Struthio camelus: one gene and its partners. The protein of the gene in region 4 purifies or fractionates together with the protein of the main gene of each other region. This does not show direct contact. Links are inferred from orthologs where the notes say so. Each region holds a gene or a part of one and is shown on either strand. Other genes may lie near its edges. The genes, in order: MYO6, GIPC1, GNA13 and ARHGEF12.

Region 1 (8,489 bases), on a different chromosome or scaffold from region 4:
TACGCTTTTACATCTTGTACTGAGACAATAAAAAATTCATCCCTCCTCACCTTTGCCACATCACTCACAATATTATCATCTATCGTATTTCTCCTGTCAAAATCTCTAAAACTTCAAAGTTTTCTTCACACCGGTGTTATTAAACATCGATAGAACATGAAGGATTCACAAGCCCCTTTTGTGACCTTGCAGCCCAGGCACAAGAAGCCACTACTCTACCTGGCCTACGTGACTGAATATCAGAACAAAGATGCATAGCAATTCCGGATTCTGAAGGATATAGTATTTACCGTAGATTATACATGAAAACCTCCTCAAGTTAGAAATACAGGGATGGGTTATTAGTTTTATTTTTTACAATTGTACATATTTATAATTTCTGCATGTCACTTCTGTCAGGCTTTTTAATTCAGATAGTAAAGACTGCTGCAAGGCTTAATAGCTGCTGTTATATTCATTCTGTTGGCTTTATATTTTCAAAAAGGCATAACCGTACTTTATTGCTAAACAGAGATTATTAATTTACATGCATTTTTAAAAAATCTACTGAAAACAGTTGAGATTAAATTTAATTTCTATTTTAATGAAAGCAATGGAAAGGTTTTTACCTTCTGCTATGCCACTTAGTTTTCACATTTACTCTCCCAGCTCTAACAATAAACTTACTCTTTTCTTTGCAGTTATTTTATAAAACGTACACTTCACAATTATCTTGTGCATTAGCACAGTTCCACAATGATATTTAAACAAATATTGCAAGAAGATATTTGTTTATACCTTCAGACTTCCGCTAAGATAATTTTAATCCTTAAATCACTTCTGTTATCAGATTTTTTTCCTAGCATTCTTCTCTCTAGAAAAGACAAACTTCAGACTGCACTTAACTTCAGATCTTGTTTCTCTTACCCTCTGTTAATTTGTCACGTTTGTAACAAAAGGAAAACTTACTCTGCTGTCAACCTTTGTACACTGCTGAATGCTAACCAAGTTCATAGGCCATTTTACAGCCTAATAATGTCAACTGAGCCGTGAGAAATTAGATCACTTCAAAGAACGTTCTTTTCCTTCCATGAGCAAGCCAAGACACTAATTTTGATGACATGACATTCTACTTCCCACCACCTTTGTTAAAAAAAAAAAAAAAAGGGGGGGGCTGACACAATCAGCAATATTTAAGTGAAATAACTGGTAATTCATGCGATCTGTAGTCTGTAGTTAATATACCTATTTTAATTTTATGGGTCTCTGATGGCATTAGGATTTACTAGTAAGGAATCTGACTACCAACTATCAGGCAAGCATCAACAATAAATATCATACCGTATAAATTGTACTCAAGTGATGGCAGATTAAGGGGAAGAATATTTTTACTGAAGTTTTCCTATTCAGTAATACATACAAATCACAGAAATTAAAAAATAGATTTTGGTAGTCTGTCATGCTTATGCACACTGCTTTCCAAAACTGAAGTCTGCAAACGTACTTCAAGAGGAATTTGCTTCAACAGATGATGTGTTTTAACTGTAGTACAAGTCATGCTCTGGAGTATGTCAATACTGTAAAAAATTTCATTTCTCTTACAGGGACACAGCCATGTTTTTGAATTGAGAGGAATTAAAATGAAAGCCAGTGGAATTTAGCACATACAGCATTTTACAGGAGATGATACTAAAGGAACAAGAAAGTTCAATGACATTTCATGATGTAAAGGAAAAGCGTTTTAATCTATGATTGCATCTAATAAGGAAGGTCTGGCTATGCTAAAAAACCATCCTGATAAGAACGTAAAGGGGGCAGTCAGGAAAGCACCTAGAAGGACTTTTCCTGATTACACATATACATTTAAAAGCTTTCAATTGAAGCTACTGGCTCCAGGTAAGCTTGCAGACCTCAGGGCCGGCACTTGACTGCCTGGGACGCCTCCTGCGCCCTTGTGTTTCTTCTCCCACCTTAATGGTAATACGTTTGTTTAATTAAGGAGATGTGTGAAGTGAGATCTACTGAATGCAACTGAAGCTTCTGTTCTCAACGTTTCCTGCTTCGAACTCTAATCCTCTCCACTGCAGTATTCACCCTTCTCTGTTTTAAGCTTGCTAAACTTTTAAAGAAGTACTGCATATTATTCTAATGCCTACGTTTAATATCAGAGGGCACCTATGCACGCAGCGGCGCTCCGGGAAGTCCCCACTTCCCTCCCGCCCCTTTGGGAAGCGTTTTACAAACGTGGAGTTACCAAACTCTCCCGGCCACCGCCGGCGCAGCCTTTGCTGCCCCGGCAGGCAGCCAGCCCGCGGGGCTCCCCTCGGGCAGCGGCTCCCGCAGGAGCCGCCCGCACCTGGCCACCGGCGGGGCGGCGCCGGCCCCACAGCGCGGCCCACGGCGGGGGGGGGACTGCCAGGGCCGGGCAGGAGGCGCCGGCAGGGCACACGCAGGACGCCGGGGCAAGCCGCCGCCGCCGCCGCGGGGGGGGAGGAGGGGGCAGAAGGACGGCACCCCCCCGGCCCGCCGAGCACGGGGCAGGGAGGACGCAGTGGGGAAGGCTGAAGGGCAACAAGCCGCCGCCGCGGGGCCCGGCCGCGGGTGACGGCGGCGGCAGCAACAGCTTGTCCCCCTCCGCCCACCCGCCCGCCCGCCAGGCCCCGCACCGGGACAGCGCGGCCCGGCGCCCGGTTACCTGCTGTAGCGGCGGCGCTGCGCGCCCGGCTGGCCCCGCTGCCGCGCTGCTCTGCGCCGCCCCCCCCCCCCCCCGCCGCTCGGGCCGGCGAACCGCCCGGGACGTCAGCGCTACAGGGGCCGGCCGGGGGCGGAGGCTCCGCGGCGAGGGCGGCCGCCGCCGGAGCGGGGGAGGAGGAGAAGGGGGGGGGGGAAGGGGCGACGGCGACGCCAGCGAAGCGCGGCTGAGGCCCGCCGGCCTTGCCCGCAGCACCGGCGCTGCCCCTCCGGGAGACCCCGCCCGCCCCGAGCCCCTCCGTAGCCGCCAAGGTCGCTGCGCGTAGGGCAGGGCTCGGCCCCGGCCCCGGCCCCGGCCCCGCGCTGAGCCGGGCGGTAGCGGGCGAGGCCCGCTGGCGCACCCCCCCCCCCACACCTTCCCCCCTCCCTCGGCTCGGGCGGGGGGCGAGGCGGGGGTCTCCCCCCGCCGCCCCCTGCCCACCAAGCCGCCGCTGGGCCGGGCCAAGCCGAGCCGCCCCGCGTCCGTGGCCTGCGAGCGGGCGCTACCTGCCTTACCCCGGCTAAGGGGGAGGCTTCCCCTCCCCCCCCCCCAAAAAAAAGGGCCTGTCGGTGGCCCCGGGGCACAGTCCCCGCCGCTCGCCTCACCTGAGGGCGCGGCGCTGCCTCCGCCCCGCCCCGGGGCGGTGCCCGCCCGGGCTGCCGCGGGCCGCGCGCCGGGCGGCGACCGTTGGCGACCGTTGGCCGCGCCCCACGTGGGGGCCATGTCGCCGGCCTGGGTAAAATACCGTGAGGAGAAAGGGTTGAGTTAAAGCTTCGGGAGTAAAGGAAAGGGCTGGCGATGCATTCAGGAAGCAGCATTGCCCTTAGAGCGGGTGGATGACCTCTGGTGCAGGGGATGTCTCTTAGGTCTCACCTGGCTTTTTCTTTCTTGCACCAGAAAGTGGTGTTTAGTCGGTTGGTTCGGTTTTGGTTTTATTTTTTTTTTTTTTGGCCGGGGGGGGGGAGGGGTGGAGATGCGGCTAGGTTTTTTTGAACCAATGCCATTACATAAAGAGTCAGGTTTCCGTTCATCGCATGTGTTTCTTAGAAATTTCAGGCATGTCACAGCATTTTTATGCTGAAATAACTGTGTCCACAAAGTTGTATCTCCTGATGCGTATGGATAGAATTCAATGAATGCATTTTTTTCTGAGTTATTTTTGGGCAGTGTCTAACACCTTTTAGCTCTGATTTCAGTCAGGCTGTCTCAATGTACTCTGTTATAAACAGTATTTTTGCTGCTACTTACCTCTTTTGCTTTCTATTTGCATTTCAAATACTAGAGTTCATCAGCAACTTCACTTAAGTGCCAACATAAATGCTTCAACTTCATACTAGTATGTCAGAATCTCAAAGCAAAAGCAAACTGAAATAAAGCGAAGTTTCACTGGTCCTCTCATGTTTGTTTTAATTAACCATCACACTATAAAGAAAGATATGCAGTAGATGGCAGCTCCGCTGCTGTGGAAATTCTGAAAATCAGAGATTCCTTGAAAAACATCCTTTCTCGTAAATCCCCGTCTTGTTTAGGTGCTGCTCTTTTCACTACCATGACAACCCTTTTTCTAGGGAGCCACAGGTATATATTGCTGAATTTTGCACAAAACGGAGAGGCTAAGATCGCACCTATTGCTCAGTGACAGTCGTGTCTGCCTGCCTTTGGCCCTGTCTAGCCTGAGTCTGATGCACCTGCAAGGCAGCACACTTGCTAACCTGCACACCAGTATTTCCATTGGCTTTCCGAGCTGCTGTGGAGATTTTCTATTGCACCCGTGCACACCCAGCTGCTTATGCCAGTGACTGTCACCAGTGCGTTGGTGTGACTCAGGAGAGCAGCCCAGCTGGAGAGCGTTCCGTCAAACTTTGTGTCACACCACCAGAGACGCATATAACCACCCCTCCTTAAGTACGTATACTGTACTTTTGTATCACTTCCCTCTCCCTTAGTTTTATTAGCGTTCCTAACATTATCCACTTCTTTCTCAATTTTCCCATAAAAACTTTGCTTCTCTTCATGCAATACTTGATGAACAGCATAATTATCCTGACTGTATGTGCAAAGCCTCTTTGCTGTCCACTGCAAGACCATAAAGTCGTCTTGTGTGTTTTGCTGACAGAGTGAATCTAGCTACTTCACACTTCAAAATCTCTCATGTTTTCCCTTAACATTATGTCCCTGGCTACTTTTCTTTAGACATGGTATTTTCAGGTGGATCCTTTCTGAGTGTCTGGAAAACCTCATATTTCCTTTAGGGAAAAACAGAAATCCCCGGGAGCTTTCCAGGGAAAGGATTCTGTCAAAGAATAGCATGGAAGTACACGTGGAAGTGAAAATGGGAGTACACAAACTGGATGAGTAAGCCGGCATCTAAGGCAGAGCAGAGCACGGGTGGAGGTAAATGCTCTGTCCTGATTAACATTCCTACAATTCATATAACATGCTATAGGCTGATTTTGTTTTTCAAAACACTATACATGTCTGCAAAGTGACAGTTTAATTTGGCAGTTGCATATTCATTTGATACAATTTAAGAATAGTTAACAGGTTTGACAGATCAAAATATTTTAAACTTCTAGAGAAGGGGAGTGGCACTTTCCACTTAACCCACTATCTTTTGGCGCAGTGTTTTGTACGTTCAGTCTTCTTTTTATTTGCAAAAGAGATAAGGATAATAATTACCTGGAAAAAAAAGTATGACTAGAAAACTAAACGAAAATATAAGTTCACTGACTGATTTAAAAAAAAAAAAACCTCTTAGCAAAACAGGATATAATGGCAGGAAATGGTCAACAAAATATTTTCAGTGTAAACAAGCCAATCACTTCCACTTTGCCTTGGAAGTGATGCAGCACTGAAGAGTATCTCATGATCTACTGTGCCGCTTCCTGGTAAGGAGCACGTCTGTCTACTCTCTCACTTTTTTGTCCCTGGGAATTCTAAAAATAACCCAAGACACAGCAGCGTTTGTTCTGTAGATCCTCTGGGAAAAAAAGAAGAAAATTCCCACAAAAGTAAAATATGAGTGCAGGAACTTCAACCTAAACAAAGGGAAAAAAAGAAGAAATAAGAAAACAAAGAAAAACGTGTTTTACTGTACTCACTTTCTGTATATGAAGGGGGAGCATTCCAGATTTCATTCATAGGAAAGTGTGACCAGCCTCTGTTATTTCAGTCCAACTGAGATTTTTCAGAATACCAGGAAACAGTATGGCTAGGGTGGAAACTCAAACCAATTTTTACTTGATGGCTATTTTAGGCTACTGATATTTGTAAGACATAGATTCAGTTTAATGGCTGTAATGGAGACCAGAGTGCCTTTACCGTGACTCAGTTCTTCCTGTGCCTTTAATATGTCACATGGGAGAAACCGTAATGGAGAAATATCCATTCAAAAGCGGTAACGCACAGATGAGATTTGCAGGAGTAGCTTTCATTCAGTAGTACGCAGTACCTATCAGGTAGCAAGAGTCTATTGTAATGAACAAAACATTAGTACCATACTTCAGTATCGTCTTAAACGTGCAAACGATACACACTAGACAGCCTACCCGGCATCCCATGATCGTACCAAAGGTAGAAAGATTGCTGAGACAAGGCAATGCTCCATTTTAGCGAGAACATCAGTACGGGCGCACGCTGCTTTGCTGTACGCTGCCAGGCAGAACTGACAATATTCCAGATGTCCACGGTGTCTTAATTCACCCAGATACTAAAAATTTATGTTTAAATATTCATTTCTTACAGATGGTAGAAAACACATTCTGCCCTCAGATTTGCCACATTTTTTTAAATATATGTGGTACGGGCCATCGTATTTTGTCAGAGCTGATGAACTGCAGACTATTTGAAAGGATAAGTAGGTAAAGGATTCCAGGTGACTTCCCGGAAAACTTTGAGAGAATATTCTACCTATTTTCATTTCAAACAATATTTAAAATGGTATGTCAGGTATCTGAACTTCTAAGAAAGTGAAATCTCCTGTATAATTCTGTTGCTCAAGATCTAGACCTTCCAGTGTAAATATGAAACGGATTGTGAGAGTTAAGTTTCTCTCCCCAGTCTCTACTATGAGAAATTAAATGTAAAAATCAGGCTTGACAGTCACTACAAGCCTTTACTATATGTATCTCTTCACACAGAAAGGTTGCGTTTAAATCGTATTATAATTAGCTGAGTTTCTTCATGGATTACATGTTCCAAATGTAGCTTGTAATGGGTGAACTTCTGCCTGTAGAAACATCCGTGGGCACCTAACCAATGACTTCCTATGGCCCAAAGTTCATTCACTTTAAAGTGCTTTGTTGTCATACGCGTATATAAATATAATGTAACTACACTGTATCTGTGTAATCTGGTCATGCTAAAACACCTCACAGCTCGTGAATACGAAGCGTTGAAGTTTCCTGACTGTCAAGTGCTTCAGCTTAGTGGCTTGATATTCCATAAAATCATTTTAGAAAAGTAAAAACATCCAAGTCATATCCTTATTGGTTTTAAAAATGGATTTACCTGTACAGAGTTTCCAAATGTAGCTGTTGTAGCTGCCAACTTAGTCTTGCCAGTACAATTTATCTATTATTTATCTAGACAAAGAATAGCTTACTTAAACGTTTGCAAAAGAACATTTCTAACTGGCTCATAGCAGCTTATGGTCACAGACAAGAGTTCAAGAAATTAAAAAATATTACTGGGATTTTAGCAATAGTATCCTTACCAATTCCAAGATCATAATCCTTTCAGAATCAATCTGTGGCTTCTTTCCACGGACGTTTACTCAAGGTAAGAGACATTCATTTCCTTAACATGAAAACTGTTTACTGGAAACGGGCATGTAAGTCTTATCTGCTCCCTTTCACCTAGTATTACGGGCGTATACATAATGCTATGATTCTGACAGCCGTGAAAAGATTGGGTTTCTTTTTCCTTATTCCCAGTAGACTTTAAGTGAACACCTATTTTGACTATAGCTAACTTTTTTTTTTTTTTAAACACCTTGACTTTTCCACAGGCCTTCTGTATTCCAACTGATACATTCAACTTACTATTAAATTAGACATTATATGGCTTAAGGCAGCAGCTCCTATTTGAAGTCCTACTGTTTCATTTCAGTTCATAAGTAGTTTCTTCTTTCCTGTTATCAGACTGCATGTTAGTTAAGGAAGGTTGATTGTTCTGCATTTCCATCTTTAGCGATAGTATGACTAGTTTCTGAAGGTCTATATTTTGACTGGAAGTAAATCTGCTGGATTGGTCCAATTTTTCAATAACCTCTGCTTAAAGAATGTATTTGAAATTATATATAATAAATATATATAATATATATATAAAGACTAAGCAAATAGATTATTTTGAATTGTGAGTAGTTAAAAAAAAAAGAAAGGAATGCAAAATAGACTTGGTTAAATAATAGTGCAAGAAGAGGTAAAAGGTACCCCTGACTGATCAGTTAACAGCCTTTCTCAAGTCCGTTGCTTTTTATTTTACTTGTGTGAACAGAGCATTTCTATAAACTCAAATACCAAAAACTGGAAAATGAGATTGCAGTTGCCCAGAGCAGCTAGAAGGTATCCTCAAAGTCATCACAGTATTTCAGGATGCATGGAGTCCATTTCTGAGGCACACGTGCCCCATGTGTCCCGCAAAAGGATTTGCTCTTGTTTTTGCTAACACATCTCTTTAGCACAGATATCCGTGGGCCCACTCTCACACATGTAAAAATATAAAAGGTAGAATGGGCCCTACCATTTCAGATATTTTGTCTGAAGGACTATGAGGATCT
Region 2 (7,923 bases), on a different chromosome or scaffold from region 4:
CCTCAGGATGGTGTGGGACATCCCCAGGTACCCCCAGGCCCGCAGCGCCTTGGGCACAGGCTGGGGTGGCCCTGAGTCCCCTCAGGATGGTGTGGGACATCCCCAGGTACCCCCAGGCCCGCAGCGCCTTGGGCACAGGCTGGGGTGGCCCTGAGTCCCCTCAGGATGGTGTGGGACATCCCCAGGTACCCCCAGGCCTGCAGTGGCTTGAGGACAGGCTGAGGTGTCCCCATGTTCCTCTGGGATGGTCTGGGACACCCGCAGGTCTCCCCAACCCCCACACCATCTTAGGGACAGTCCAGGGTGTTCTCACGTCCCTCTAAGGCAGTATGGGATGTCCCCAAGTCCTCCCAGCCCCGTGGTGGCTTGGGGACCGTCTAGGACGTCCCTGCGTCCTCCTGGGATGGCCCAGGATGCTCCCCCCACTTCCCGCTCAGAGTGGCTCGGGCACCATCTGGGGTGTCCCTGTGTCCCCCCATAAAGTCAGACCACGTCCTGGCGTCCCCCCCAAGGTGCCTCAGGGACCGCCTGAAGCGTCCCTATGCATCTCCAAGTAGGACAGTCCCTTCTCATCCCCTCCAGAATACTCAAGGTCACCCTTTCACCCTGAGGCTCTCCAGGAGAGTGGGAGCTGGCCCGGGGTGGGTGACACGTGGGACAGTCGTCCCCGCACCTTGATGAAGGCGTAGCCGGCGCCATTGTCGGTGATGGTGAGGCCCAAGGCCTCCTCGGACTTGAAGACCTCGACCTCCTTGCGTTGGCCCTTGGTGTGGGCGAAGATGAAGTCCTCGAGGCCGATCTGTCCCCCCAGCAGCTTCTCCATGTCCACCTTGTGCGTGTTGAGGGTGCAGAACATCACCTGGGTGGGGCAGGGCCGTCAGCGGTGCAGGGGCACCCGGAGCCCCACGCCGGGAACACGTGGGACTTCCCAGGACACACAGGATCCCCTTCCTGGGGACCACCTCCCTGGAGACACATTGGACCTCCCAGGACACACGGGACCCCCTTCCTGGGGACCACCTCTCTGGAGACATGTGGGACCTCCCAGGAGACACGAGATCTCCTCCGGGGCCACACGAGACCCCCGTCCTGAGGACACAAGGGACCTCTCTTCTTCGGGACGCCTACCCTGAGGGCACATGGGACCCTGGGGACATGTGGGTCGCCCTTCCCAGGGACATCTACCCCAGGGCCACCCAGGAGCTCCCAGGACACAAAGGACCTCTTCCCTGGGGATGCATGAGACCCCCTTCCAGGGGACACCTGCCCTGGGGTGCACAGGAGCCCTGGGACACCTGTCCTGGGGACATGTGGGACCCTCTGGGACACACGAGACCCGCTTGCTGGGGACACCTGTCCTGGGGACACGTGGGACCCCCTGGGACACAGGGGATCCCCACCCTGGGGACACCTTCCCTGCAGAACATGTTGGACCTCACTGCCTGGGGACACCCTGCTGGAGACCTGTGGGCCCCCCCCGCCAAGGACACATGGGATCCCACTGCTCGGGGACGCCCTCACTGGGGACACGTGGGACCCCCCCCCCTCCATGCACCTACGGGTGCTGCCCTCACCCCCGTTCCTCTCCCCCTGGTCTCCGCAATGTCCTCTTGTCCCCCTCCCCACCCCAAGGATCCCCTCACCCTGCCCGTTGAGCCCTCTCTCCCCCAGCACCCCGGGGTGCTCTGTCCCCAAGTGTCCTGATCCCCAGGACCCTCCCCAGCACCTAAGGGTGCCCCATCCCCGAGTGTCCCGATCCCCAAGACCCCCCCAACACCTAAGGGTGCCCCATCCCCGACCGTCCTGACTCTCAAGCCCCCCTTCCAGCACCCAGGGGTGCCCTGTTCCCAAGTATCCCGAGTGCTCAGCCCACCTCCAGCACCCAGGGGTGCCCTGTCCCCAACTGTCCTGACCACTAAGCTCCCTCCAGCACCCAGGGGTGCCCTGTCCTCGAGTGTCCCAACCCTCAAGCCCCCCTCCAGCACCCACGGGTGCCCCGTCCCCAACTGTCCCGAGCCCTCAGCCCTCCGCCAGCACCCAGGGGTGCCCCATCCACAAGCATCCCGACCCCTGAACCCCCTCCCAACACCCAGGGGCGCCCCATCCCGGAGTGTCCTGACTCCCGAGCCCCCCACCCTGGGGTGCCCTCTCCCTGAACCCCCTTCCCGACACCCAGAGCGCCCCATCCTGGAGCGTCCTGACCCCCGAGCCCCCCACCCCAGGGTGCCCTCTCCCTGAACCCCCTCCCAACACCCAGGGGTGCCCCATCCCAGAGTGTCCTGACTCCCGAGCCCCCCACCCCGGGGTGCCCTCTCCCTGAACCCTCCTCCCGACACCCAGAGGGCCCCATCCCGGAGCGTCCTGACCCCCGAGCCCCCCACCCCGGGGTGCCCTCTCCCTGAACCCTCCTCCCGACACCCAGAGGGCCCCATCCCGGAGCGTCCTGACCCCCGAGCCCCCCACCCCGGGGTGCCCTCTCCCTGAACCCCCTCCCAACACCCAGGGGTGCCCCGTCCCGGAGCGTCCTGACCCCTGAGCCCCCCACCCCGGGGTGCCCTCTCCCTGAACCCTCCTCCCAACACCCAGAGGGCCCCATCCCGGAGCGTCCTGACCCCTGAGCCCCCCACCCCGGGGTGCCCTCTCCCTGAACTCCCCTCCCAACACCCAGAGCGCCCCATCCCGGAGTGTCCTGACCCCCGAGCCCCCCACCCCGGGGTGCCCGCTCCCTGAACCCCCTCCCAACACCCAGGGGTGCCCCATCCCTGAGCATGCCGACCCCCAAGACCCCCACCCCGGGGTGCCCTCTCCCTGAACCCCCTCCCAACACCCAGGGGTGCCCCATCCCGGAGCGTCCTGACCCCCGAGCCCCCCACCCCGGGGTGCCCTCTCCCTGAACCCCCCTCCCAACACCCAGAGCGCCCCATCCCTGAGCATGCCGACCCCCGAATCTCCCCCTAGCACCTCTGGGTGCCCCGTCCCCAAGCGTCCTGAGCCTTGAGCCCCCTCCCAGCACCCCGGGGGTGCCCGACACCATCCTGGCCCCCCCCCCCCCCACCCCGACCGCCGCCCCCGCAAAGCCGCACCTCGCCGGGCGGGATGCGGAAAGCCTCGGCGATCTTGCCGTAGAGCTCGCGCACGTTGCCGAAGCCCTCGACGCGGCCCGTGGGGCTGCCGTGGGCCAGCTGCGTGTGGAAGACGAGGCGGGGGCGGAGGGCGGCGGCGGGGGGCGGCGGCGGCGGCAGGAGCCCCCCCGGCGGGGGGCCGCCGCCGCCGGCCGCCCCCAAGGGCGAGCCCGGCGGGCCGCCGCGGCCCCCCGCCGCCTCCTCGTTCTCCACCAGCGGCGGGGCCTTCTTGCGGCGGCCCAGGCCCAGCGGCATCGGCGGCGGCGGCGGGGGGGGGACGGCGGCGGGTGGGGGGGGGGACGCGGCGGCGGCTCTGCGGGGGCTGCGGGGAGAGGGGAAACTGAGGCACGGGGGCGGGAGGCTGGGTGTGTGGCCTGGAGGGGTGTCGTGTCCCCCCCCCCCCTCCCACCCCGGTCCTGGCGTCCCTCCTTGTCCTGGTCTTCTCCCCCCCCCCCAAAATCATGGTTCCCCCCCCACCAAGTCTCATTTCCAGCCCCCCCCCAGCCCCGTCCCGGTCCCCTCCTCGGTCCTGGTGTCCCCCCCGTCCCCGTTCCCCCCCCCATCCCAGTTCTACCCCCCCCAGTCCTGGTCCCCCCTCCCCAGCCCGGTCCTCGTCCCCTCCTCGGTCCTGGTGTCCCCCCCGTCCCCGTTCTACCCCCCCCCAGTCCTGGTCCCCCCCCCCCAACCCCGTCCCGGTCCCCTCCTCGGTCCTGGTGTCCCCCCCATCCCCGTTCCCCCCCGTCCCCGTTCTACCCTCCCCCCAGTCCTGGTCCCCCCCCCCAACCCCGTCCCGGTCCCCTCCTCGGTCCTGGTGTCCCCCCCGTCCCCGTTCCCCCCCCCCATCCCAGTTCTACCCCTCCCCCAGTCCTGGTCCCCCCCCCCAGCCCGGTCCTCGTCCCCTCCTCGGTCCTGGTGTCCCCCCCATCCCCGTTCCCCCCCCCGTCCCCGTTCTACCCCCCCCCAGTCCTGGTCCCCCCCCCCCCCAACCCCGTCCCGGTCCCCTCCTCGGTCCTGGTGTCCCCCCCGTCCCCGTTCCCCCCCCATCCCAGTTCTACCCCCCCCCAGTCCTGGTTCCCCCCCCCCAACCCCGTCCCGGTCCCCTCCTCGGTCCTGGTGTCCCCCCCTGTCCCCGTTCCCCCCCCATCCCATTTCCACCCCCCCCCAGTCCTGGTTCCCCCCCCCCCAACCCCGTCCCGGTCCCCTCCTCGGTCCTGGTGTCCCCCCTGTCCCCGTTCCCCCCCCATCCCATTTCCACCCCCCCCAGTCCTGGTCCCCCCCCCCCCAACCCCGTCCCGGTCCCCTCCTCGGTCCTGGTGTCCCCCCCTGTCCCCGTTCCCCCCCCCATCCCAGTTCTACCCCCCCAGTCCTGGTCCCCCCCCAACCCCGTCCCGGTCCCCTCCTCGGTCCTGGTGTCCCCCCCTGTCCCCGTTCCCCCCCCCATCCCATTTCCACCCCCCCCCAGTCCTGGTCCCCCCCCAACCCCGTCCCGGTCCCCTCCTCGGTCCTGGTGTCCCCCCCTGTCCCCGTTCCCCCCCCCATCCCATTTCCACCCCCCCCAGTCCTGGTTCCCCCCCCCCAACCCCGTCCCGGTCCCCTCCTCGGTCCTGGTGTCCCCCCCGTCCCCGTTCCCCCCCCCATCCCAGTTCTACCCCCCCAGTCCTGGTCCCCCCCCAACCCCGTCCCGGTCCCCTCCTCGGTCCTGGTGTCCCCCCCTGTCCCCGTTCCCCCCCCCATCCCATTTCCACCCCCCCCCAGTCCTGGTCCCCCCCCCCCAACCCCGTCCCGGTCCCCTCCTCGGTCCTGGTGTCCCCCCCGTCCCCGTTCCCCCCCCATCCCAGTTCTACCCCCCCCCCAGTCCTGGTCCCCCCCCCCAACCCCGTCCCGGTCCCCTCCTCGGTCCTGGTGTCCCCCCTGTCCCCGTTCCCCCCCCCATCCCATTTCCACCCCCCCAGTCCTGGTCCCCCCCCCCCAACCCCGTCCCGGTCCCCTCCTCGGTCCTGGTGTCCCCCCTGTCCCCGTTCCCCCCCCCATCCCATTTCCACCCCCCCCAGTCCTGGTCCCCCCCCCCCAACCCCGTCCTGGTCCCCTCCTCGGTCCTGGTGTCCCCCCCCAGTCCCGGTGTCCCCCCCAATCCCAGTTCCCTCCCCCTCGGTCCCAGTGTCCCCCCTGTCCCGGTGCCCCCCCCAGTCCCAGTGTCCCCCCAACCCCGGTACCCCCCCCAGTCCCGGTGACCCCCCCGGTCCCGGTGTCCCCCCCCCGGTCCTGGTGCCCCCCCCGGTCCCAGTGTCCCCCCAGCCCCGGTACCCCCCCCCAGTCCTGGTGCCCCCCCCGGTCCTGGTGCCCCCCCAGCCCCGGTACCCCCCCGGTCCCAGTGTCCCCCCCCAGTCCTGGTGACCCCCCCAGTCCCGGTGTCCCCCCCCAGTCCTGGTGTCCCCCCCGGTCCCGGTTCCCCCCCGGTCCCAGTTTCCCCTCCCCGTCCCGTCCTGCCGCCTCCCTGGGCCCCAGTCCCGGTGTCCCCGGTTCCCCCCCCCCAGTCTCGGCCCCCCCCGCCCCTCACCCTCCTCGGTCCCGGTTCCCTCCCCCGGTCCCGGTGCCCCCCCCCGTCCCGGTCCCCCTGGCCCCGGTTCCCCCCCGGTCTCAGCCCCCCCCCGTCCCGGTCCCGTCCACCCCCGGTCTCAACCCCACGCCGGTCCCGGTCCCCCTGGCCCCGGTTCCCCCCCCGGTCCCAGCCCCCCCCCGTCCCGGTCCCGTCCACCCCCGGTCTCAGCCCCCCCCGTCCCGGTCCCCCTGGCCCCGGCCCCCCCCGGTCTCAGCCCCCTCCCGGTCCCGGCCCCCCCCCGGTCTCAGCCCCCCGCCGGTCCCGGTCCCGGTCCCCCCCCCCCGGTCTCAGCCCCCCGCCGGTCCCGGTGCCCCCCCGGTCTCAGCCCCCCGCCGGTCCTGGCCCCCCCCGCCCCCCCTCACCGTCCGCGTCCCCGGGCCGGGCCCGTCACTCCGCAAACTCCAGCCGGGCGCTGCCGGGCCTGACCCTCCGGGGAGGGGCGTGGCCAGCGCCTCCCCGCCGGCCAATCATGGCGGAGCGGCGCCGCCCCGCCGGCCAATCACCACTCAGCGACACCGCCCCGTCGGCCAATGAGCCCCCGCGCGGGGCGGGGCGGCTCCAGGAAACGGGCCCGGCCGGGGGCGGTGGACGGGCCCCGGCACGCGGGCGGCACCGCCCTGCTCGGCCGCGAGCCCGCCCACGGGGTCGGGGGGAGCCAATCAGAGGCGCGGACTACAAGTCCCAGCATGCCGCGCTGCAGGCGCCGGGCCGGGGGAACGCTGGGAACCGTAGGCGGCAGCGAGGCGGGGAGGGTGGAGAGCGGGGGGAAGCCACAGAGCAGTAGGATTTGGGGGGAAAAAACCCCAGAACCGGCGCAATTTGGCCCGGGGCGGGTGTATTGATGGAACATGGCGGGCAGTGTACAGTTTGGGAGTGGGAACCCTGCAGCCCCTGAGATGCTACAATTTGGGGGGGAAAAAAAAAGCCTGGAAATGGCCCAATTTGGAGGGGGGAAACAGAATTCCCAGCCCCAGCCCCAAATCAGCCTCCTCCTTCCCCCTCCCCCCCAATCCCCTTAAGCTCCCCTCAGTTTAGCACTCCCCCTCCCCCCATCGCAGCCTCTAATCCCCATAATCCCAGGCCGAGCTCCCAGGCCCACACCACCACCACCCCCCCCCACACACAAACGAGCCATCCGTCTCACTTTTACTAATTACACATCAATTTTACAGAGCTTTATACAAAAAAATATCTGTACACGAGTGCCAAGAGCGCTCCTGTTCCAGGAGCAACACCAAAAAACAAACAAACACCCTTTTTATCCGCAAAGGATAACACCAGAGTTGTGCTACGGATGCGAAGGCGGAAGAGGCCTTCCGAAAAAGCCCGAGGCACCGGAGTCTTCCTCGCCACCGAGCCAGGACACGAGGGACCAGCCCGCGCTGGGAGGGAAAGGAGGAGGAGGAAGGGGGGGGGGGGGAAGACCACCGGAGGGCTCCGAGCCACCATCGTCGGGGGGCAGCGGGTGGCCCGGAAGTCGGGGTTGGACCCGCACGACGAAAATCCAGGCGGTGGGAGTTTCCAGCGGAGCCGTCGGAGGCCGCTCGGCAGTTTGGACATCGCCCTTCGGCTCGGGGAAACAAGGGGGTGCAAACACCCCCCCCCCCAAGGGAGGTGCTGCTAAAGAGACCCCGAAAGTCCCAGTTGTGGTCCCCTCCCGAAAAAGAGAAAATAAAAGAAACCACCACACCTCGAGCTCTAGCCAAGTCCTTAAAGCGGAGGCGCTATATGGGCAGGACCTGCTCCAGGATGGGTTTTGAAGCAGGAGGAATGCGGTCAGGGAATTTGACCTCAAATTCGATGATGAGGTCGCCCCGCTGCTCGGGGGTCTTGGGGTAAGGTAAGCCCTCGCCGGGGATGCGCCGCTTCACGCCGGGTTTCAGGACGTCTTTGAAGACCATGGGGATGGTGCGGCCGTCCAGCGTGGGAGTGTTCACCGTGCAGCCGCACAGGGCCTGAAGCGGGGAGATAAACGGCGTTACGGAACAACCGTCGGGTCACCGAAAGCACCCCGTCACACGGGGTCGAACCGCCGGTATCACCCGTATCACCCCCCCCACCTCATCCCGCGGCCAAAACGGGGCCGACAGCAGCTCCGGCCACCCTTGACTCACCTCACGGAGGCTGATTTTAGCCGGGTAGATAATGTCCGAGCCTTCCCTGCGGAAAACGTTGTGCGGTTTGTCTTTGACGACAAAGATG
Region 3 (7,360 bases), on a different chromosome or scaffold from region 4:
ATTCACACTAACACAAAGGTTATTTTTAAGACGTTAAAACATAAAGCCACTTAGGTTTAATAGTTCTGCAAGAACAGAACATCAGATTTAATCTATTTTAAGGTTCTCAAACTGCCCCACCCCTAAAAAGGTCTTTAACATTGGCAATTTACTGTGCAAGTCTACAAATGAATAAACGGCAAGCGTAACAAAGTCTTCCTCTCCTTTTGCAGCATTAACATATAAATTGAGTGAAGGGACAGTTTAAGCTCCAGCTCAAGAATCAAGATGTGTTTCCTTTTTTCTTTCAAACTCCACTACTGAACTGTGTACTCCATCTTCAGCTGAGAACTTCAATATAACAAAAACCTCATTACATGAGAATTAACATACACGTTTAAATTTAAACAGGAAGTATACACAGGGAATGCTTGCAAGATAGCTCAAATTGGAATTGAGAAGGGAGTGGTTTTTAAATTCTTCTGATTAACCCATGCATATCTTTTCTTAAAAATCACAATACTATTAAGCCTTTCTTTATTGTAATCCAATGTTTTTTTAATGCCAATACACTATTTAACAAGGGGTCAGAATAATCATATGGTAAACACACTACACAGCTTCTAGCCATCAGCTCCTAGCTTAGTTACGGAATTAAAAACTCTGTGTCTCAGTTCTCTCACACATGAAACGAGGACAACTGTGTCAGAGCTCTTTATTATTCTTGGTTTAAAAAAAGAAAAAAGGAGTTAAACACATCTGTTTACAATACCGTAGTGTAACACTCAACCATTCAAACACGCTTAACATTCACATGGAGGCTGCTTGATCAGCGTTTCATTGAAAAGCAATATAGGAACAAGACATCATACAAGACATCATACACGCTCAACTAAAAACACTGAAAGGCAAATCTTACCAGCTGGAATTCTCTGCGCCTGTCATACGCATGCTGGATACCACTATCTGCCCATAGCGCTCTGATAGCTGGAAGGTACTGTAAAAAAACCGCTGTCTCCACCATTCCTTGCACCACTGTGACTGACCGCGTATCAAAAGCCATCATCGTATCTCCATTGCTCTGGTTGGCGGGATCTCCCCAAGGAATATGAAGTTTCTCTCTGGCATCTACGAGGACTCTCACACCTTCAACAACATGAAAGAGCATCGCAATTAGAATTTCTCAGCATCTACTGTTTCACTAGCCTACAAGTTTGTAAAGACTTGAACAATGCACTTACTCCGTGTGCAGTCAGAGTTCAATAGGACTAACCACACAGTAAGAAATAATGAAATGTCTGCAAAATTGACTCAAAGCATTAAATTTTCAAGTAGCCCCTGAGATATTTGCTACCAGAAGAACACAGCCCTGATCACGACCATAATATCCATAGTACCAGTACAACTCTCGCAGAAGCACTACTTTTAGTGAGTAAATCCGTGCTATCAAAACTCTTTAACAGATATTTACACTTTTTTTTCTGATCCCCAGAACCATTTTCTGGCTGTTACACTGACCTGGCGGGAATAATAAGACAAATGAAGCACGTCTAAAAGCTCATTTCAGAATATATTTAACTATCTGAGGCCTTATTTTAAGGTTTCCTAGTCATTGTATTCTAATGAGCTTGGTATCTACTTATACCTACTTGCAGAAAGTAGCCACTGCTATTAATATTTTCAGAGCTATGAAGGAAACATTTACTAAAACCACAACTTCTAAATTTTACGTCTTTACTTCTTAAGTGCAGAAGGGATCTTATCACCTAAACATTGTCACACTTTTTTTTCTTTTTTGCAACAGTAAATATTCTCTAGTAGAAGCTGAACATTTTAAACCTGCTTTACACAGGACTTCAAAGGAAAAAAAAAAGGAAGAAAGAAAGAAAAGAAAAATCGTGTTGTGCCAAGGCTGATAACGCAATGATAACGCAAATGCAAGGAAATAAATTCTGGTACTAGATTTAATGATGGTGAGGGAAAAAAACAAAAATAAAAAGAAAACTCCAGAAGAAAGAACAAGCAACCATAAAGGCACGGGAGAGGCATAAGGAATCAAGATGTACTAACAGCTGGCTCTATAACAACACACTGGTTCAACATCGTCAGTACCATCTTTTCAAGAATCACTGCCTTTTCCATCTGTCAAAACCTATGACTGCAGGAACGTAGCTACAAAGTAAGATTTGCAGTTCTTGCCTGTGTGCTTTTACAGAGTAAAAGTTACCTGATTTTATTAATAGACCATAATAAGGTTAATGTACCTGCTCATAATTGCTACTACCCTGCTATTTATAAATAGGCTTGGTTTATAAATAGTTTTCTAAAGCAATTCTCTTTCAGAATCAGCAGGACTTAGGCCACAAAATACCCAAGCCCCCCCCCCTCCCCAAAACTCGGGGCCGGGGGTCTTACAGCGCTTCGCTATGTTGAGCGACTTAGTCAAGGCTTCGCTCGGACGCGACACAGTCCAGCTCGAAAGCCAGGCGAGCAAAGGCAGCGATGGAGGGAAGAGGGAGCAAACGCGGATGACAGCGGGGAAGTCAGCGGTCGGCTCCTCAGCCATGTGCGCAGGCTCCCGGCACCGCGGCTCCCAACGGGGCTCTGCGCGGGGGGGGGGGGGGGGGGTTCCTCCGAGTGGATGTGTCAGCCCGGTTGCCGGCGCCGCGCCCTCCCGCAGCCAGGTGCGCGCTCCGCCCGTCCCCCCGCCGCTCGCTGCCGGCCTCCCTCCCTCCACCGGCAACGGCCGCCGCGCCGCGCCGCTGCTCCCCTCCTCCGCCGGGCCCGGCCCGGGCCACCCGCCGCCCCGGGTGCGTGTGTGGAGGGGGGAGGGGGGGGAACGGGAGGCGCTGCCCGTGCGGGATGGCGCCGCGACCCCCCCCCCCACACACACCCCACAGCGGGGCCCGGCCCCGTCCCGTCCCCGCGGGCGCCGCCGCCCTCACGCACCCTTGATCACGTTGCTGTAGATGGTGGCGCGGAACTCCTCGCGGGCCGCCCGGTCCCAGTCCTGCCCGTGGATGATCCGCATCTGCTTGAGGAAGGTGGACTTGCCGCTCTCGCCCGCCCCCAGCAGCAGGATCTTGACGAGGCGCTTCACGTAGGTCTTCTCGCGGTTGAGGCACTTGTCGATCTCCTTGGACTTGCGCTGCTGCTCGGCCTCGCCGCTGGTGAGCAGGCAGCCGGGGAAGCAGCCCGACAGCACGGAGCGAGACGGCAGGAAGTCCGCCATCTTAGCGAGCACTGCCAACGAGGGGAGCGGCCGCCCAGCCCGGCCCGGCCCGCAGCAGCCCGCTCTCTGCCCGCGCATGCGCGTCCGCCGCCCCGCCCCGCCATGTGACACCTCCCCCCCCCGCTCCCGCCGGGCACGCCCTCTCACGTGACTGTGGGCGCCGCCGCCGCTGCCGCCCTGCGGCCGCCGCGAGCGGCCTTCGTCACGTGACGCCCCTCTTCCCGCCCTTCACCCGCAGGGCTCCCCCAGACTGTCACGTGACCGCGGCGCGAGCCCCGCCCACGAGCGGCCCTCACAGGAAATGGCGGGAGGGCGGAGGCGGCGGTTAGACGTGTTGAACGCTGCTGCCGCTCACGGCTGCCAGAGCCGCAAACGCAGGCGAAGTCTGTGCTCCCTTGAGGGAAACTGAGGCCCGGCCTTCCCCCCCCCCCCAAAACCGGTGCGCGGGCGCAGGGACGCACGCCTCGGCCATGGTGGCGGCCCGGCCCGGCGCCTCTTCCAGGAAGCGGATAGCGCAAGCGGCTGCGGGGGGGTTCAGCCCTCGGTCAGAGGGTGCAGGATGGAGCCTGCCAGCTCAGCAGTTTTTGTTCTTGGTAGAAAAAGAGAATCGTTTCTGTACAACCTTCTGAACGATTTGGCATGCGCTTCCTGTCCGCTCCTCTGCAAAGAGATGTGCCACCACGTTGGAAAAACGTGCCGAGTTTCACGCGGGGGTCATAAGCAGACAGAGCCAGCAGCACTTTCTATCATCTCGTAGCTTAATAAGAAACAAAGCACTTTAAAGTGTTTAAAGGTTCTCCTAGGGATACTTTGTTAAGGATGGCAAACGTTTACGTGTGGGATAGAGAAATAATAAGCTGAGGGACAAGCAAGGATTGAAAATCCCCTCTTGGTGTGAACCGCCCCTGAGGACGGTTGATTCTGTTTTACCATTTGTGCATCACGAGCAGAAATTAACCTGCGAACGCACCACCGAATACCAGCATGGCACTCCACTGCCTCCACAGGCCTACACTGACTGAAGATCTGGTCCATAATATTAAAGGCAAAAAGATCGTTGTCTTTGATTATTGATACAGTCGTTCAAATCTATCCAGAGAAGTCTTAGTCCTACATATTGGTCAAATCAGACTGCTCTCGTATAGCAGCCCACTGACATGTTGGTTGTTGTCTGAAGACGTAAGGACACATCTGACTGAAAAACTCGCATACGCGAGTTACGTAGGTCAGCTGCGAATATGGTACATCTGTGTCATGCTCCTCTTGATGTGGCCACTTATAGACTATATTGCAGAAATCACATATATACATGCAAGTGCCTATGCAATAGTTACATTAAACATTTCTTTTATCTCCCTTTATTACATCTCCTTGACTTTGGCACCTACTGATTTCTTCCCTCAGTGCTCTGATGCTTTTTCTTAACAATAATTTTAAGTTTAAAAAAAGAAAAAGGAAGAGATGAATGAGGAAACTGTTAGCTGAGCTTAACATGAGAAAATGTCACTGCCTGTTTACTGCAAGGACCCTCCTTCTTCAAAATCTGTGATGAGTATTAATGTTTGCACCTTATATAGGGGATGTGCCCACAAGGAGATAAATTCCATGTGAGTTATTCCACATGATCTTTATAAAAAAAGCATTTATCAAAAGAGAGCAGGATGTGGTTGCATAAAATTCATCTAATCATCCAAGAAGCACATCTTAGTGGTCTTAGTATAGAAACAAAAGCCAGCAATTCTTGAGCTCTAGTCCAAGTTTTAAAACCAAGAGATCTTTGCTGGCTTGACACAGTTCTCTGAGAATCTCATCTTCAGAAATGCAGAAGACTCCCAAGCTCCTACAATTCCTCTTGGAGTTAAGTAGTTTTCAGTAAATGAAAATCCTGCCAACCTTTCTCATTGCGTGCTTCTTGTCTGCATAAGGAAACTGTTAACAGTACTTGTGCTTTCCTTCAAAAGGTTTAATGTTCTTCCAAAAGGGAAATGAACATTTGTTGCCTTTTAGTGAAGGAGAGAGTTAAAAACAAAGAGGTCAGGGCCAAAATATTAAAACAAATTTTGGGTGCCTCCTTTGTGAGAAACTGATGAACTCCTACCAGTAAAGTATACCAAAGAAAACCGGACTAAGTCATAGATTGAGAAAATCATGGTTGTGCAGCAGAAAAGATAACGACAGCCAAGCTTGGGAAAGGATGACTTGTGTCTGCCTTCTGGGCCAAACAGCGAGATGCACCTAAAATCATGGGGTGCAATGATAAAGGGGGTGAATGAAAGAAGAGTAAAGGCTATTTTCCTGACAGTAATATGACCTTCCAAACCCAGGCCATCCCTTGCTGGAAGTCAGAACTGTGTCAGAACAGACAGGCATCCCCTAGGGCTACCTGTGCTTCCTTTCAGTGCTGCTTCAGCCTCTCATCTAGTTCTCCCTGGTAGTCTCAGTTTTGTCCTTTTCCTTCCTCTTTTTCCTCCTTTCACTTCACTTTCCCTCATCCACCCACCCAGCCAGTGACTTTGCTACAGCCTCCCCCTTCTCTGGCTTCTCTCTCCAGCTGCCTGCAGCCAGCTGCCCTGTGTAACCATCATCCTCCAGTCATCCGCTTCCTGCTGTCCCCCTCAACGCAGGGTCCTGGTCACTCCTGCCTGCTCTCAGTTTGTCACCTCATTCTCAACGACTCCCATTCTTCATTTTCAACTGTCCAGAGCACCTCATTTCTGGGTAGTCACTGGCCTCCTCCCAGCGCTACCTTCGCTTCTCTCCCCTTCACTCCACATTCCCAACTGTGCCCTCCAAAATCTTCTAGCTGTACTATTCCCAATCTTCTGTTGAAGGGACATGGCCTTCAGCATGCTGCAGAGAGGGAAAGATTATTCCCCACTACATTAAAACCTGAGCTGAGGATGACCAGAGTTCCCTGGGGAGGACATTAAAGTGGGCTCAATGTTATCCAGCTCAGCAGGGAAAGCAAAATATCTCAGTCCTGGGTCAGGTGTTAACCCAGCTGCATCCTCTCTCCCCAGCAGCCAGGTCTCATCTGTAAGGCAGGGTGCACAAGGTCTTTCTCTGTTTTGCTTTTTTCCTTCCTCTTTGCCATTTCTTTCCTTGGCTTTCCTGTCCCTGGAAGGTCCAAGAGTGACGGGAAACGAATGCTTGCTGCCCATTCCTGCTCCCAGCTCTTCCCACGTGGCTGCTGAGAAAACCCCTCATTTTCAGTGGTTGTGCCCTAGCAGAATAGGACGATGGACTGTGGAGACATTGCTTTAACTATTGCCTTGCAACGGCACTTGCGACTAAGTCATGTGTCTCTCCATGCTGTAGTTTCCACCTTTTTTTGGTAAACTGCTTTGAAATCTTCCTGGAAGGAACTAGGTGCTGAAATTCAGTCTGTGCTTGACGTGCTCACAGTACCATTCTCATTGCTGCATTTACGTTAGCCCCTTCCTTCCCCTCACCACCATCTCCAGTTTCCTTAGAAAGCTAGTTACTCACCACATGTCTTTTGTGTTGCCTGACAGAACTTCTGATGTGTGAACAAAGGGCAACCACGTAGGAAATGTGATCTATAAAAAAGGGGGGGATTCCACCTACCATGCTTTTCACAAGAGAAAGCAAAGAGAATCGTCATCTGAGCTGTGAATGGGTCTATTAAGAATGAGGCTAACTTAAAGGGACTTTGGAAGGAGAATGGAGAGACAAAGTTTAAGGTCTCATTGGACCTTTCTCTGGCAATTCAAGGGGTATTGCAACCAGGAGATGACACAGGGGACCAGCTGCAGCTGAAGAGGGAGTAAGCTGAAGTGGAGGTCTGTTGTGTGTTCAGTGTGAGGTGTGCCCCCGGTTGGCATGGTGTGGCTTTTCTCTGTGGGCTCTAGTGCATAATTCAGCATCCAACACGTGCTGACTTTACCCTGCTCTGTCAGAGTGCGTTTCATGGCCCCCAGGCACAGGCACAGTGGGATCTGCATGCTCTGGAAGGCCCATGGGCTTGCATTGCCACCGCATGGTACGTGGACCACATGAATATATCTTCACAATGGCATCACATACCACAGGTGTGGGACATGAACATTCATGCAAACATACCGTTACATAAATAGCATTGGATTCACATTAGAAAACAGGCACTGTGAGGTACAGTGATCTCCCCAG
Region 4 (7,802 bases):
ATCCACTAAATTTATATCATGGAGGTCAGAGAAGCTCAGCTAAATCACATCTGAGCTACAGCACACAATTTTATGAAGCTCTCCAGTCTTGACAGGGTCTGCAGAGGATTCATTGCACTCCGGTAAGTTCCTCTAATGGTTGAGTATCCTATTAAAAATGTTATGATGTGAAATTTTCATCAAACAAAAAAAATCTCTCTGGTTACGTTCCCTGTTTGTTCATACTCAGGTTAAAGTTTGAAGTATACTAGCTATCTGAGGCAAGGCAGCGTGATAGACAGCTGGCATCAGGGAGTAAAAACGTCATCAGTCTTGGCTTACTTCCTACCTCTTGTTTGCACTGAGCCTGTAGCAGGGCAAATCCTGATCAAACTGAACCCTGAAGTGGTCAGACTGCAGCAACCTAGAGCTCCCCAAAGCTCCAGAATCTGACACTGGTTTGAAATACTTGTTTCAAAAGCGGGGTGGGTGGGGACGTGGGCAGGACCTCGTTAAAATGTCCCTAGGACAAGTTTTAGATGAGCTGATACAAGGATTTGCCAGCAGATGGCAACAGGTCCTCGGGTGAGCTACTGGTATGAGGTTGGAAAACTCAGGTCTTTTCAAAACAACCTCAGTAAAACCTTTTTCCATAAGCATGCCTTTTGAGGAGACCCATATAAAGTACCTCTGAGGATCTCTCCTTTCCTGTGCCATCCTTTTCTTTAAAGCAAAGAAAGGGGTTACTGCTCATAGGACTCAACATTGTTCAGTTAAGGGTCCTCCTTATTTGAGTCACTTAGCTCTGTTCGGGACTGTGAGGTATATTCTGTGGGAACATTGCTACCTTGCCCGGGAGACGTAGACTGGTTAGCTAAATATGCATTTTCCACTCCTAACATCTATGTAGGTATGACTGTACTAACTATAAATTGAGGCTGAGGACCTTATAGCTACCAAGGGGGAAAAAAATATTTTAATTGATATTGCACAGTGTAATTGCATATTGGTTTTTTTTTTGGATTTCACGTTGTGAAACTGCCCAGGAAGCAGAGGTCTCATAAATATAGATGCCTATTAACATAAGTATACAATCAGCTCCCAACTAAAACCAGCATTCGCACAGAAGAGAAGCACTTATGGTACCAGAGTCTGCTTTTGAATTGTTTTATTAGTGCTTTTTCTTTCTAATTGTTGCATTAAACAGTGAAATGGGAATGCAGCCCGTTATGAGCAAGAGTTAATCTACTGAACAATATGGTATAAGGGTTTTATGCTTCCTCTTTGCTATCGATGTAGTTTTTTTTGTGAAGCTGCTTTTGACAATACTGAGCAAATTCTTTGGCAAACGGTGATCAGTGTCACTCCACTGACTTTGATGACAATTTACTGCAGCAGAGGTATGTTACTTTCTAGTTCCTCTTTCGCTCTCTGTCTGTGTGTGTGTGTGTGTGTATATATATATATATATATATTTGTATGTATATATTTAGGTTTTCCTCTGGCTGTTATTGTCATTATTTTGTCATGCACAATAAGATATAATTAAAGTAATAAAAGAGCATCAAGGCCTAATATGCGAGTGCCAGGCCTGTCATGGAACAGAAGCTCTCCTGGGAACCTTCCTCTTTCAAGGCACACTATTTGAAAACCAGTGAGTTAAAAGGGGATTTACTGCAGGGAAGATTCCCTTAACGCTGACCAGTGCTATTGCATGCTGCAGCAGTATTACAGACAGTCATGGTTGCATGTCTGGCACCCCCCTCTGTCTCTTCTTTCAAGCCTTTCCCAAAAGGAAACCAAGAGAGGAAGTGTGTGTGTTCTTTATGTCTGTGTCAAGTATCATCTAGCAAATGATTTCATCCCACGCTTCCCCCCTTTGCATTGTACTTCTTAGAAACAAATTCATCAGACTATCAGTCTCCTGACTTCCTGATTCACATTCGCTTGGTTCCCAGGAGGAAAAAGCTCTATGTTGTGGAGTGACAGGCTTCTGAACATAACTTAAAGCAAGGTATTGTCCTGTGTGCCTTAGTGATGTTGTAGCTGGTCTCGACTTTGCAGAGGCCTGTTTTCCAGACTGTTTCCAAATCCAGCCTCCTGAGTTGGAAGAAGCATATCAAGGTAAGGGTTGATTAAAGGAGAGCAGGAAAGTGTACTGTATGATTGGGGGCTAGCTAAAAAGATAGTTATGTTGGTCTGTTGGTATGTGGTAGGAAAGACTGATGTGAGCTCCCCGTCATGGGGTGCTGCATGAATCCTTTAGCTCCGGGAGACCACGCAGTGGTATCTACCCTCCCCGGCAGTGGGGCCAAGCTGACAATCCCCCGCGCTTTGATTAAACCCTTTTCACTTCTGCGGTGGGCATTAGCTTTAATTCCGGCAATGAGGGTAACCTGGAAGGTTCATGGACTTCTAGTATATAAATATTATTCCTTGGCATTTGAAAAGAAGAGCGCTTGGTTCACATCTTATTTATTTGCCCTTTGTGTTGGCAACAAGATTTTAGGATTAGGTAATGCACCTAGTATTCAGCTTCTGGTCTGTTATTACAGCCTGCTTCATGCCGTTCACCCATTGTTCGAATACATGTAGAGCTGAGACAGACGCTTCTCCCTAAAGCTCTGTTTATGTATAGCGTGGGTGCTGGGCAGTCACAGCAAGGCATCAGCAAGGACGTATTTCTGTTGAGAGCCGTGCCCGACTGGAGAGAGGCAAATCCGTGCATGCGGAGATTTTCCGTGTCCAGCAGGTGTGGTGACAGAGCGCCTGCTGCTCGCCGTTTCATACCGGTGCTCTAATTTGCCGTGTATTTCCTTTCTGTTAAAAGTTTTCTTGGTCGTGGTGTTTTCCACACGGCAAAGGGCGCAGGTCGAGCCCGGGAGCGCTCCCTACCCGGCCGAGCTTGTCATCAGCGTGGAGAGGAGCCCAAACACAGGAGAAAGGTTGCGGAGGGCGTGAGAGGAGAGAGGAGGGATGTCTCCGAGGTGGATCTCGGGGGGGAGGAGTGGGAAAGAGAGAGAAACATCTTTAGCGCTGATACTACGGGCCAAATTGGGGGGGAGAGCTATTAAAAAAATGGGTGAATGGAAGAAAAAGGGAAGAAAAACGCGGTTTGCTTGGAAATGCTGAAAGCTTTATCTCTGGCAGGGGCCGGCCTGAGGGGGGCTGTGAGAGGGGACCCTCTGGAGGGGGGAGCGCCTCGGTTTACATTAAAAGCCGTAATGGTGGGACGGTGGAGGTGGGGAATAAAACCCCCACGGAGCTCCGACGTGTGTGCTTGAGGCCCCGGGACACCGTGTTCGCTGTGCCCGGGGCCCCCGGGCGGGAAGGAGCCGTTTCGGCCCGGCGGAGGGGAAATGCGCCACGGGCCGGGCCGGGGCGGGGGAAGGGGGCGGCCGGCGGCAGCGCTGTGAGGAGACGGGGGGAGGGCGGGGGGAGACAGGCCCTTCTCGGCGCGCACTGAGGGAAAAGCAGAAAGAAAGCGCCCCTTAAAAACGCGAACGAACACACATACACCAAGAAAACAAGCAAAAAATAAAAATAAAAAAGAAAACGAGAAAATAAAAAAAAAAAACGGGCCGAAGCGGGCTAGGAGCCCCTCCGGCCCCGCCTCCGCGGCCGGCGGAGGGGTCTGGCGGCGGAAGGACACGGGCGGCGCGGTGTGAGGCGGCTCTGAGGTGAAAGCGGGGGGGGGGGGGGGGGGAGGAGAGGAGGAGGGGGCGGGGCGAACGCGGCGGGAGGGGCGGACGCGGCTCGGCCCGGCCCGGCCCGGCGCGACCCGCGCAGGCTCCGCCGTGGAGGCGCCGCTGGCTGGCCCTCGCCTCGCCTCGCTTGGTCTGGCTTGGCCGCGGCGCAAGGTGGGCCGGAACCGGACCGGGAGGCAGCAGCGGCAGCGCCTGGGCGGCTCTCGCGACAGGACTTTGCCCCCACCGGAAACCCCCCGGCTCGAGCAGCACCGACGGGCCGGGCCGGGCCGGGCCGCGCCCCGCCGTAGCTCGGGCCAAGCGGCGCGGCCGGGCATGCGGCGGGCCTAAAGGCGGCGGCGGCGGCGGTTTAGAGGGCCCTGCGCGCCCCCCCCGCTGCGGCCAGCCGGCGGGGCGGGGGGTCGGCGCGGGCCGCCAGCGGGACATGGGCCCCGGCGCGGCGGCCCCGCGGACACCGGCAGCCGGCGGGGCGCTCCGCCCGCCCGCCGCGGGCCAGGGGCCGTGAGCAGCGGCGGGGAGGGGGGGTCCCGGCGGCCGGGCGGCCCCCTCCCCTCCCCGCCCGGCACAGAGGGGCAGGCGGGGTGTCCCCGCATCCCCTCCCTCCCCCTTCGGCTGACGTTTCCCGACGTTTTCCCTTTTGGCCTGCGGCTTGCGCGAAAGTCGGGATTCCCCCCCCCCCCCCCCCCCCCCGGCGCACCCTCTTTGCAACTCCGGACCGTCTGAGGATTTATTGCTTTTGAAGACTTTCCTCCCCCGGCACGCGTTGTTTTTTTCCCCTCCCCTCTTCGTTGGGGGGTAAGGGGGGGTCTAGGGGAGCAGCTTGTTTTTTTTTGTTGGAGTTTTCCTTAAACATCCCTCCACCGTGATCTGGATATTCTGGGTGACTGCAAGAAGAGTTTTGGAGTTTTTCCCCCCCCCCTTCTTTTTTTCCCCCCCACCCCTTACCCTTGAACTGAATTTGTCCTCTGTGCATGCCTCTTCTGGAGCAAGGCTGGATCCTGAACCTCAGTGCATGCGGGGTGCAAAGCCTCGTTAATATTCCTGCAGTAATAGTAAAATGCAGATTGGATAATACGACTTCTTGCTAAAGGCTCCAATGAGTGGCACACAGCCCACAATCACGGACAGGTCAGTATGAAGTGATTTTACGAAGCCTGGGTGCTGCTCAGAGCTCCTGTGCTTTGTGTTCTGGCTTCAGTGACGGTGTCAAAGATCTCTGGTCAGAGGAGATCAGGAAAGCGGGATTAAATGGAGTTTCTGGAAAGCAATATGTATCGGGGGTGGCTGACTGTCAAGGCAAATGGGTTAACTTTGAAACTGAAGTATTTCAAGTCATACTACTTTCAAGCCTTCCAGCCTGACTGTAAGAACCAGAGACTCTATAATTCAGCTTCCAGGGCAGATTGATGCTGGTAGGAAAACCACAAGGAACTATGTGAAGTCAGAGCTGGAAAAGTGACAGAGTTGAGGATGCAGTTTGAGTCTTCAACCCGAAAACTTAATGGGGGATTATGCTTGCTTTTCTTTAGGTCAATGCGTTGTAGCCTTTCAAAGAGAGGTCACTTCAGGTGAGAGCGGGAAGGGTAGTTGATGAGCAGGAATGTTTACTGGTGCCTACAGTACCTTAGCAGTAATCTACTACTTGCTTTGGCTACCTGCTCAGGCCTCTGGACTTCACTGCAGGTGCTGCTATGTGCGGTTCATTAGCTGTCAGGAGTTTTCCCACTTGTACTGGGATGCTTCAGAGGCAGGTGAAAAAAAGGTGTTTTTTTTTTTTTTTTCTTTTCCTAATTGTGAGAAAAATGAGTCAAGTAGGAAACTTTCCTTTGAGAGAGAAGTATGAGTTCATGTCTAATTTTGATCTTTCTGGCTAGCAACAAAGATACCTTTTTGAGGCTTTTTAGCAAAAGAGACTTTTCCTTTATTATTACATATTTGTTGGTAACGGTGTCAATGTGTGTGAGACAAAGGCCTGCTTAGGCCTTAAATGTCCAGTATGGCCTGCATCTCTCTGATGCAGGAGGTACACTAGGCTCGGGACAGAAGGGTGATGCTTTTGGGTGCCTGAGAGCCTTTTAGCTTTCAAGCGTGGGCAGAAAAGAGACCAAGTTTAATTCTCATTAACACCAAGGCTTTTTCGTAACTCTGTAGGTCTTAAGAGGCAGTACAGTAATTGAGCAGTGTAAAGCAGCTGTAGTGCAAGTATCGTGTCTGTTCAACGTTCTTGATTGTACTGTTCTTAAACTATTAGAGCTGCTCTGAAATGAATTGTACTAGCAGAACATGTGACAGAAGAAAATGCCAACTTGTTTTTCTTTTTGTGGCCCATGTGCATGAACACTAGCAGATGTTCTTGAGTTCCAGGACATTTTTCTTCTGTACCATACAAGACAGTGATAGTAAAAGAAGATGTTTGAGTGGCCTTGTGAGACTTTTGTCAAATACTTAAGAGTGTGGGTCTTAAGACAGCTTGCAAGACATCAAAAGGAACAGCAGGGTTTTCACACCAAGAAGCAGTTGAGTAGATGCATGGGAAAGAAAAGCAGGAGGGCAGGGAATTTGCTTGTTAATAAAAACAAAATGCTTTCCGTTATTGAGTTAGAACAGACAAATTGAAAACGTAGCGGAGACAAAACATGTCTCCGTTTCCTGTTGCTTTCAGTCACATCCAGGGCATGTTTCTTCTTGGTGTTCCATTAAGGTTTTGATTCAAAAGACTTCAAATGTCAGGGAAAAGGGCTGTCTCCCCAGCTGTAGCAATCGGAGCTTTCTAATAGTAGGGTTGTATGATGGTTGGGGAGATGCAGGGCAGTCAGGTCTTGCCTCTGTGCTTCACCTCTGACCTGAGAGACTCCCAGCTCTAATGACGAGAAGGTGATTCAGTCTTCAGTCTCTTGACTGAGACTTTCAACCATGCTAAATGTGGCAGTGTGCGTGTTCTCATTATGTGGACCTCTGCTTACAAGAGTCTAGAAGAAGGCCACTTGTTTGTTTTATCTACAGCATTATGCATGATCTGGATAGAGGTGTGTTTTTTTTGTCACTGTTGTCCTAGCAGTATATTCGTGAAAAGCTTGCTTTCCCGGCATGCCCAAGAAACCTCTATATTGTCTCTTTAGATCCAGCTCCTAAACTTGGAATAGAAAGCAGGTGCAAACTCTGCACTTGCAATGTCATTAGATCTGCACACTACAAATCATATTACGTGTTTAATTCTCTCTTTATTTGTCAGTGACCCGCATTGGTGTGATCGAGTTGGGAACTGCCTTACAAACAAAACCAAAAAACAGCTTACATCCATGCCAAATGATATTATGAAGAGGGCATCATGGGCCTCCGTTTTTCTCCACATTAGCTTTACATACTTGCGTTTTACACTTGTGTAGCTGCTTAAATCCCTGTTACAGATGGCAAATATTTTCTTTTATATCCCTTTAGCTTAAAGTGGTTATCATACCATGTGTTTTGATAGCTATTTGACATTCCTCTTGTCCAGGTTGCATTTGTTCCATCTTTTACGTGTTTTATGTCTTCTGCGTTCTTGTTGTGTTGTTTATGATAGTTAAGTATTTGTAAAATAGGAGGAAGGTATGAATTGCCACTTTTACTGTTGCTTTATAGGCAATACGATAAACTAATTTTTTGTTAAACCCTCTCCTTTTTATTTTTCCCCAAGAAAGTTAACAGGTTGTATTAGCTGAGACTGTGCTGATACATGGTCGTGCCAATTCACATCTGATGTTTTTTTGGATATTTGTCTCTGTATATCAAACGGTAGCCCTGTTCCCTTTGGCTGTTCTCTATCCTCAAGTTGGATTCTGTTATCTAATCCAACTAATTGACAAGGCAACATAGTTTCTAATATCTTTTTCCTTCAATGTCTTAAGAGCCTTAGAAAGTGAGTGCCTTGGTGAATGGGGGAATACCAGGTATGAAACAAAAAGACTAAAAGGTGTTGAGACTTCTGACAGTACAATGGCTCCTCGGCAAAGTTATTCAGAAAAGAAGGTGGAAGTATCTGACGTGTGCCGTGCCTGGCAGGCTATTCAGCTTTTAGAGAAACATGCTAAGAGTTTTACTTCTGTAAAATAGTACCTGAGATTTAGAAGTACATGC

The links.
Region 1: the proteins of ARHGEF12 (region 4) and MYO6 purify together in Homo sapiens (affinity purification with mass spectrometry; 4 studies listed by BioGRID and IntAct, counting the BioPlex papers as one, with this or other methods). This does not show direct contact. The link is inferred for Struthio camelus from reciprocal best matches to the Homo sapiens genes ARHGEF12 and MYO6.
Region 2: the proteins of ARHGEF12 (region 4) and GIPC1 purify together in Homo sapiens (co-immunoprecipitation; 4 studies listed by BioGRID and IntAct, with this or other methods). This does not show direct contact. The link is inferred for Struthio camelus from reciprocal best matches to the Homo sapiens genes ARHGEF12 and GIPC1.
Region 3: the proteins of ARHGEF12 (region 4) and GNA13 purify together in Homo sapiens (affinity purification with western blotting; 3 studies listed by BioGRID). This does not show direct contact. The link is inferred for Struthio camelus from reciprocal best matches to the Homo sapiens genes ARHGEF12 and GNA13.

Annotation. Positions count from the first base shown.
Region 1 is NC_090944.1:43,547,669-43,556,157, reverse strand, and holds the start of MYO6 (unconventional myosin-VI), read right to left. Parts: upstream 3,350-8,489; 5' UTR 3,316-3,349; intron 2,743-3,315; exon of another isoform or gene 2,675-2,742; intron 1-2,674. UniProt on the Homo sapiens protein: Myosins are actin-based motor molecules with ATPase activity. Unconventional myosins serve in intracellular movements. Myosin 6 is a reverse-direction motor protein that moves towards the minus-end of actin filaments.
Region 2 is NC_090972.1:3,432,132-3,440,054, forward strand, and holds the start of GIPC1 (PDZ domain-containing protein GIPC1), read right to left. Parts: upstream 3,378-7,923; coding exon 3,084-3,377; intron 860-3,083; coding exon 674-859; intron 1-673. Other genes in the region: DNAJB1 (dnaJ homolog subfamily B member 1), read right to left, coding at 7,446-7,676, 7,836-7,923. UniProt on the Homo sapiens protein: May be involved in G protein-linked signaling.
Region 3 is NC_090960.1:3,531,525-3,538,884, forward strand, and holds the start of GNA13 (guanine nucleotide-binding protein subunit alpha-13), read right to left. Parts: upstream 3,318-7,360; 5' UTR 3,290-3,317; coding exon 2,929-3,289; intron 1,126-2,928; coding exon 899-1,125; intron 1-898. UniProt on the Homo sapiens protein: Guanine nucleotide-binding proteins (G proteins) are involved as modulators or transducers in various transmembrane signaling systems.
Region 4 is NC_090963.1:3,848,799-3,856,600, forward strand, and holds the start of ARHGEF12 (rho guanine nucleotide exchange factor 12), read left to right. Parts: upstream 1-4,368; 5' UTR 4,369-4,782; coding exon 4,783-4,814; intron 4,815-7,802. UniProt on the Homo sapiens protein: May play a role in the regulation of RhoA GTPase by guanine nucleotide-binding alpha-12 (GNA12) and alpha-13 (GNA13). Acts as guanine nucleotide exchange factor (GEF) for RhoA GTPase and may act as GTPase-activating protein (GAP) for GNA12 and GNA13.